Nothobranchius furzeri: one gene and its partner. The protein of the gene in region 1 purifies or fractionates together with the protein of each later gene. This does not show direct contact. Links are inferred from orthologs where the notes say so. Each region holds a gene or a part of one and is shown in the gene's direction. Other genes may lie near its edges.

Region 1 (4,362 bases):
GTCACAGATTAAAAACATAAACAATAGTACTCATAAATCCTCCATCAGAATCCCCACCATGTTTCTGATGTTGACTTGGACTCACTGCAGGACATCTCGTTGCTCCAGGTTGTATTTGCCTCCGTTCTTTAAGGCCACATTGTGGATCCCTTCTATGGCTCGATCGATGGACTGCAGGACCTCGTCTTGCTGTGGAGCCTGGCACAAACACATCGACAGAAGCTGAAGGGATGAAACATTCATTACTGTGGCAGCATGCAGGATTATTAAGTGTGTGACTGGGTCAAACTGGGACAAGCTGGGAAAAAATGGGACTGTGATCTAACAACACCCTACATTCAGGCTTAATTAAAGCTGCACAGACGGTGTTATCAAGTACAGGAGGGAGCTCTCTTCTTGTGACACAGCCTACAAGCTCTGACTAGTTCCTGCGATATAACCAGGGGTGTGACCACGAGGAGAGGAAAACAATGCTTTCTTGTCTCTGTTATCTGTTGCTGTCCCACCCTGTGTCCTCTCAGCAGCTTTTCGACCTGCAGCCTTTATAATAAATTAATGCATGCGATTTCCACCTGACTAGACAGCTTGCTCTTGGCCTGCCCTGCTGCAGACAGCACCACTCTCAGGGTTCCACTCCACGCCTCGCCTCTATTCACTAAATAGGCAAAAACGGGGGTTAAAAGTGAGTTTTACCTGAATCTTTTCGATGTAAGAAGCAGGGATGTAGCCGGTCTCCCCGGAGCTACAGCGGGACCCCAACCACCAGTGTTTGTTGCTTCTCTCCAGGATTAGAAAGCTCTCTCCGGCCGCGAAGTGCAGTGAGTTGGGCTCCACGGATCGGAAGGCGTACAGAGACCGATACATGATTTAGTTTATCTGTAACAAACCGAAAAGTGACACAGAAATAACCTGTTATGAAACAAAAACCGAATGAAAAGATCTGCTCCGCAGGGGTGATTTAAAGAGCCCATGAAGTCTACGGTGAGCGGCTCATGTCTATTTACAATGTAGCTCGGATCATCTGACCTGAGCGAGCGCTACCAGAACAGGCCACAGGGGGCACTGATACACCCTAAATACGCCTATCAGACAGTTTAATCAAACCCAGAGCTAAAATCTAATTTGATTGTGAAAAATGTGTAATACATTTATTTTCATTTGAAGTGGAAACATTTATGAAGTTACAATTAAATGATGTAAAATGTAAAAACATTTTACTTGACGATTAAAGTAAGGTTACGGTGTTGTACACACGCAGGGATAGAGATAGTTTTTCTTCCATCTTACATTTGCAGAAAGGATTTCAGCATTTTGAATCCTTGTAAATATGTTTCAATGTTACATTATTTGTTTCAGAAAGAGTTGAATTATATATGTATTAAATACACACACACACACACACACACACACACACACACACACACACACTGTTGGCGAGATAAGAAATGTTCGATTGTGCTGTGCATAGCACCGGAAGCAGCTGCCTTAATGGTGTCACAGAGAATTCCGTTCCCCTGTTATACTCGTCAACATGGCCACTGCGGTGTGCAGCAGGATGCTTTTCCAGAGGTCGACTCGAGGATTTCTGTCCTTTTCCAATACAATTCCTGCTTTCTCTTGGTAATTTAATTTTTTCAACAAAAGTATAGAAATCCTATTAGTTAAAAAAGAAAATAAGGTCAATTGCAGAGTTAAAAGTTGGTGTGATATTGAATTGAAAGTGTTATAAAGGTGATGTCTGTTTTGATAATTAGCCTTATTAAAGTTGTATAGCATTATTTTATAGTATTTAATAAAGTGTTTTAGTGTTTTTATTTCACTGAAGGTTTAAATTTCCCGCTTTATTGATGCTTTATGAATGTTCGTCGGTTCAATTTCCTTAGATTTACTTAAGGTTAGCCTCAAAATGGTTACTTATATCTAGGGTAATTTTCAGTTTTAGTTAGTATAATCATTTTCAGTCTAATTGCGCAGTTTAAAGTGTGTTGCTCAATCATTAAATCTTCATATATAATGTGGAAGTATTATTCAAAAGTCTTATGACTATTTTATAGCTCACATGTGTATGTTAATGAGATTTCCTTTACAGGAAGTGTGACTTGTGATACTTTGCAGAAGTGTTGCAGAATAGATGCAAACTGCTCTCCAGACAGCAAGAGTCCAGTAGGTTGCCGTAGTTACAGTTCAGACTTGAGCAGAACTTGTGATGAAGTTCATAATAAATAACAGGAAATGTATGTCTGAAGCAGATGTAAATGAGAAGCAGAAGATAGATGGACACAACATAACTAAAATGTTCCAGTACAAGTTAGGGAAAGTGTCCTTATTTGGTGAAAACTGAACTATTGACCTTTTATTGCTGATCAGAAAAGATGATAAACTGTTAAAGTGTGTAAAGGTGCAGAAGGAACACCCTTCTTTCAGTAGAGAATGACATTTGATGTTTAAATTCACTGACAGGACCTCCCTATGTGTGTGTGCTTGTGTAACTTTCAAATTAAAAGGCTGAGGGGGAAACTGAAAAATCATAACACATTACCAGGTTACTGCTCGTGTGCATCTCATCTCAGGCCAACCAAGATCTTGTGTGTGTACATGTTGATGCTTAAGGTGCAGGTCTCTTTTCAGGCTCACCTCAAAAGAATCAGGAGCAGAGTGAGAGAGGAATTTACTTAAAAGTAAAGAAGAATCTCACCGCAACAATTACTGGAAGTTTTGTTGAATGTTATGAAAAATAAAATGTGTTTACATATTCTAACAGACTAATTGGCTAATTTAGCTAATGTTGAAATTAAAAAGCATTGATTGTGTAATGTGATGTGTACAGTGTAAATTAAGCTTTTGGCTGAGGACCCCATCAGTAGGTGGTTTGGCAGATCTGCATTCCTCTGACTTTCTAAGAATATTAAAACTATGGAAGAATATACACACACTGGATTTATTCATTGTCCGTTACTTGTTTTTCAGTCTAGAAACAAGCTTTGCATCAAGTCACTGACAATAAACAACAGAATAAAGCCCATTTATTATTGTTTCTAATCTAGTTTTCTGTCTCTTTTTCCAGCCCATTTCTGTCTCGCGCTCACAGATTGGAACCTGGTGATGATGAGTTGTACCAGAAAACCACGGTGTCCATCATGAAGAAGGAGGCAGACAGTGGGATCATGATCCACAGCTACAGCCCCATAGGATTTACCGTAGATAGTAACCAGGTGCTCGGGCCCTGTGCTCTGCTGCCTCCTGCCATCCTGCAGTGGAACGTGAGGTTCATCTCCAGATGTTCTACACAGCTATTAGTGTGCCGCATCACATCATTCTGTTTACAAAAACTGATCAAGAGTTTGTTTTAACTGTCTGGTTCTGCAGGTTGGTAGTCACGAAGACATCACAGAGGAAAGCGTCTCTCTTTTCCACATGATTGCACCAACAATTGGTATGAATGAATGCACACTGATATAAAGATGTTTGTGTTTGGCCCGTTTTAATCTTCACTGGTCCAATTTCATCACCTCAAACTTGGGTTTTTTAGCTGCTTCATCTTTAAGAGAAAGGAATTAAAACAGGTTGTAGCTTGAATGATGCTGCAGCTTCCATGATGTATTATTGCTAGACCACAAAAACATGCAAACTCCTATAGAAGACCCCAGAAAGTATTTAAATGGTCCTTCTAGTGATCTAGTGAGAAAAGTAAAGGAATTCAGCCATTAATCTAATCCCTTCATGTTTTAATGATAGTATTGCAGGCTGCTATTTCTCATAGAAACTTGCGTCAATTGTATACTTTAGGTGACCATTCCTAGTATTTTCTACTCTTTATTCTGTCTGTGTGTTTATATGTAGCTAATCATTTAAACTTAAACACTTTTTAATGTTTCTTTCTGGTTTATGAAGAGATTCTTGTGCTGGGAACAGGAGCCCGGCTTGAGCGAATCAACCCCTTAGTTCTTGCCTTACTGAGGCGTAAAGGCATCGCTGTGGAGGTGCAGGACACGGTAAATATTTGTTCAGCCTTCATGACTCTCAAACCACAAATGTTTTTATTATTTAAACTTTTTTTTGCAGCCGAACGCATGTGCAACATTCAACTTTTTGATTAGTGAGCGAAGACTGGTCGCCGCTGGTCTGATTCCCCCGTCTCTGAGCAAAGCTCTGGATATTAAATGAGACTAAATGTGGTATTGTGAGAGTGAAAGCAGGACAGACTCACTTTGTTCCAAGGTCAGCCGGCAGAGGAGCTTCCAAATGTGTCCAGCTTTACCGAACATTGTTGCAGCAGCCGCCGTCTCTTACTGACTGGAGTCTAGTTTCATATTTTCTCAAAAGCAACAAATGGTTGGCTGCATGTTCAGAAATCTGCTTGTG
Region 2 (3,759 bases), on another chromosome or scaffold:
ATTTTTGATGCTTTCACAATGTTTATTGAAAATAAAACATCCCTTTATTGCACCAAATACACAAAAATCCTTAAAGTACTCAAAAAAATTTACATTTTAAAAATAAATATTAAAAGACTTGCAGATTTTTACATGGAGTGATAACATGAAAAGAGAAATGTGCAAATGAGATATGACTGGGTGCAAAAAATAACTGCAAATAACAAAAATGTGTGGGGGGCAGACAAAAATTTGAAGTGGTGGTTGTAAATTTTGACGTTCAGTAACAGTCCGTGTACTCATGCAGTCACTTAAGAAACTCTCCAGCTCCACAATGGCTTCATGTATGGGTTGGAGACATTGTCTCAGTGATGTTAGTTTTGCTAGTCCTTCCATCTCTCACCTGCACTGGATCAAGTAGGACATAGCTGACCACCTTAATGAGCTTATCTAATCTCTGTGTCTCAGCAGTAGATAAGGGCTTCCCAACTGCTCCCCCCAACTAACCCCACCAGAAAAGATGGCTGATGCCACCACTGAGTCAAACACCTAGATCACACCGATTGATTTATAAGGAAGCCATACAGAGTCAGGACCGCATCTGTTCCACATTTGGTATGAATGAAACTAAATAAGGTCCTTAGGAGCACTCCCCTGCATTCCAAAGGAGATCTCAGCAGCTAGAGTCAGCTCTGACCCTTTCTGAAAACAGCATCTGCATTATGGCTCCTGTCCATGGTGAATGGTGGAGTCCTCGGATGCTGAGGGGAGGGTGATGGTGAAGGACGGAGTCCTCTGGGCTGATAGGTCAGAGGAGGTTGGGAGATAAACTCGGTTGTGGGAGAGGAATGAGGGGATTGTGAAGGAGTGGCAGAAAAGGTGGGATTATATGAGCAAGGAGAGGCATTTATATAATGTTAAGAAGGAGGTGTTAGGGCATGGGGTGAATAGGGGCAATAGGAGAGAAGAGGTAGTTGTTACCAGGCTCAGATTGGGTCATTGCTCGTTGGACAAAACTCTAAAAATGATAGGTAAACGTGAGACTGGGTTGTGTGGAGTGTGACAGGAGGAGGAAGAGAGGGTAGAGCATGTAATTCTGTGGTGTAAGGGTTATTTTGTGGAAAGGGAATTTCTGCGGAAAAGGATGAGGGAGAGGGGTATTGAGGAATTCACAATGAAGAGCGTGTTGACGAGTTGTAGGGTGCAGATGAGGGATTTGGTGGAGTTTCTTAAGAGTGTAGGGGTTTTTCATGGGGTGTAGATAGGAATAGTTATTTTTGCTGTTGATAAGGAAGGGGAAAGAAATAGGGTGCAAAAGGGGAAAGAAGGAAGGAGGATTAAATGAGAGGGAATGGAGAGTGAAGGTGTAGGTTTTAGATTGTGAGCTCACTGTCTGGTCCATACTCCGGAACAGTTGGAGGCGGTAATGCTCCATTAAGCTGGTTGCCAACCGCTGCTAAACACCAAGTAGAAGAAGAAGGAGGGGCTCCGGCCGTATGGGGGAGCTGTGGAGCACCAGAGTCCGTGTCCCAACAGAAGAAGACTCCGTGGATCAAGCAGGCTGACGTTCGGTTCGTTGGAGGAGGCTGGATAAAGATGTCGGGCTCCAAGGTGAAGCAGGACATGCCTCCTACAGGAGGATATGCCCCCTTTGACTATAAGAGAAACCTACCTAAACGAGGACTTTCGGGTAAATGCGCATTTCCCTCACCTATTTACCTTCACAGACCCACGCAGCGGAGGTGAAATGTTGACCATTCACGTTTGTTGTCGGTGTGGCTAATGCTAGCTGCTCAGCGTCAACATGAAACTGATTATTCCAAGTCAGAATTAAACTACCCGGGGGCTTGAGGCTTGAATTGGTATGTTTACCTCTTAATTAAGAGGTAATTGTCAAATATCCGAGCAAGAAGGAAGTCTGTAAAATACCATAATCGCTCCATGAATCGTTTCTGACATCGAAAGCTAACTGGTGGCTAACACGAACCAGTGTTTAGTTCTCTAGTCATTAGTGTTCGGTCCAGAAGTGAAAATAACTAGTGTTCTTTTTAAGTGACCATTAGAAATAACCATAGGAAAATACCAAAGCTATTGTAAATTCAATACACAGTTGTACAATAATAAATAATATTGTTGTATTAATAAAAACATTTCCTCCTCTATGAATACAAGTTGACCATATTCCGTCTGTAACATCAGACCAACAAGAAGTAGTTATTTGAGCATGTAAAATTTTATACTAATATATTTTACAAATCAACAGGTTATAGCATGTTTGGCATTGGCATCGGTGTCATGCTGGTTGGTTACTGGCGAATGTTCAATTGGAACAGAGAGAGGCGGTAAGAAAATCTCAATTATGTAGCTTTCAGGTTGTATAGTAGTCACATTTGAGCTGATGATAGTGGTATATTTGGTTCGTATCACAGGCGCTTCGAAATGGAGGAACTGGAGACCAGAATAGCATTAATGCCTCTGATGCAGGCAGAGCTTGACCGAAGGTAAAAAACAACTTCATTTATCTGTTTTTTCATATTAATATCAGGAGCAACTAATCAGTTCTTTCATCGTTTTGGGTTTTCATTCTTCTAGTACCTTGAGGATGCTGAGAGAAAACTTAGAGGAGGAGGCGATCCTCATGAAAGATGTTCCAGACTGGAAGGTAAAGTTATTAAAATGCTCAATAAATATAAAGAGTTCCTGTCAGCAGTTTGTTTTACAAAGCCACAAACTATCAGGTTAATTAAACAGCTCTTATTTTTTGTTTATACAATAAAATGTATTTTAGATTGTTTTAATAAGTCGGGCAAATTAACATTTTATTGTGTCTAATTGGAATCCACTGATTTAGTTCTGTGATCTAACTCAAACTGTAATTTTAAAATGAATGCAGGTTGGCGAGAGCGTCTTCCACACGGACCGCTGGGTCACGCCTCTGACAGAAGAGCTCTTCAACCTCCGGCCACGCGAAGAGCTTTTGCACCAGAAATATGGCTTTGCGTGGTACGTGTAATCACAACTGGGGAAAAAAGCCCCTAGCCTCAACTTTTGTGTGAATTTTAGCCTTCGCTCACGTCACCTTGTAAATGTAAAATAAAACAACTTTTTTTCCTGTACCATCTCTGATTTGTCATCAATTTAGCTTATTTAATGTCTGACTCCAGATTATTTAAACCAACTTCGCGCATAGAAACCTTTTAAGTTCATATGTGTATATATAAATAACTCTAGATGGCACATTATTAAAAACTGGTCTGAGTACAGATGGACCCTGTTCCAGAATGATGGTAGAAGAGAGCCAGATGAAATGATGCACCCATCATGCCTAGTGCCTACTGTACAAGCCTGTAGGGGCAGTGCTATGATCTGGGGTTGCTGCAGCTGGTCAGCTCTAGGTTCAGCAACAGGATGTGGTCCAAGAATGAGGTCCGCTGACTACCTGAATATACCGAATGACCAGGTTATTCCATCAATGTTTTCTTCTTTGATGGCAAGGGCATATTCCAAGATGACAATGCCAGGATTCATCAGGCTCAAATGGTTGAGTGGTTCAGGGAGCATGAGACATCATTTTCACACGTGGATTGACCACCACAGAGTCCAGTCCTTAAACCCATTGAGAATCTTTGAGAAGTGCTGGAGAAGGCTTTGTGCAGCAGTCAGACCATCATCAATGCAAGATCTTGGTGAAAAATGAATGCAACACTGGATGGGAATAAAAAGCTCCCTTCCGGTTTCTGAAATGGGAGTCTGAGAGCTTTTAAATCCTTAAGACTCACG

The links.
Region 2: the proteins of ndufaf3 (region 1) and ndufa13 purify together in Homo sapiens (co-immunoprecipitation; 3 studies listed by BioGRID and IntAct, with this or other methods). This does not show direct contact. The link is inferred for Nothobranchius furzeri from reciprocal best matches to the Homo sapiens genes NDUFAF3 and NDUFA13.

Annotation. Positions count from the first base shown.
Region 1 is NC_091743.1:68,499,903-68,504,264, forward strand, and holds the start of ndufaf3 (NADH dehydrogenase [ubiquinone] 1 alpha subcomplex assembly factor 3), read left to right. Parts: upstream 1-1,464; 5' UTR 1,465-1,531; coding exon 1,532-1,620; intron 1,621-3,064; coding exon 3,065-3,260; intron 3,261-3,366; coding exon 3,367-3,433; intron 3,434-3,891; coding exon 3,892-3,992; intron 3,993-4,062; coding exon 4,063-4,164; 3' UTR 4,165-4,362. Other genes in the region: nckipsd (NCK-interacting protein with SH3 domain), read right to left, coding at 86-198, 694-864. UniProt on the Homo sapiens protein: Essential factor for the assembly of mitochondrial NADH:ubiquinone oxidoreductase complex (complex I).
Region 2 is NC_091751.1:56,690,115-56,693,873, forward strand, and holds ndufa13 (NADH dehydrogenase [ubiquinone] 1 alpha subcomplex subunit 13), read left to right. Parts: upstream 1-1,365; 5' UTR 1,366-1,575; coding exon 1,576-1,669; intron 1,670-2,242; coding exon 2,243-2,321; intron 2,322-2,408; coding exon 2,409-2,480; intron 2,481-2,571; coding exon 2,572-2,641; intron 2,642-2,872; coding exon 2,873-2,992; 3' UTR 2,993-3,095; downstream 3,096-3,759. UniProt on the Homo sapiens protein: Accessory subunit of the mitochondrial membrane respiratory chain NADH dehydrogenase (Complex I), that is believed not to be involved in catalysis. Complex I functions in the transfer of electrons from NADH to the respiratory chain.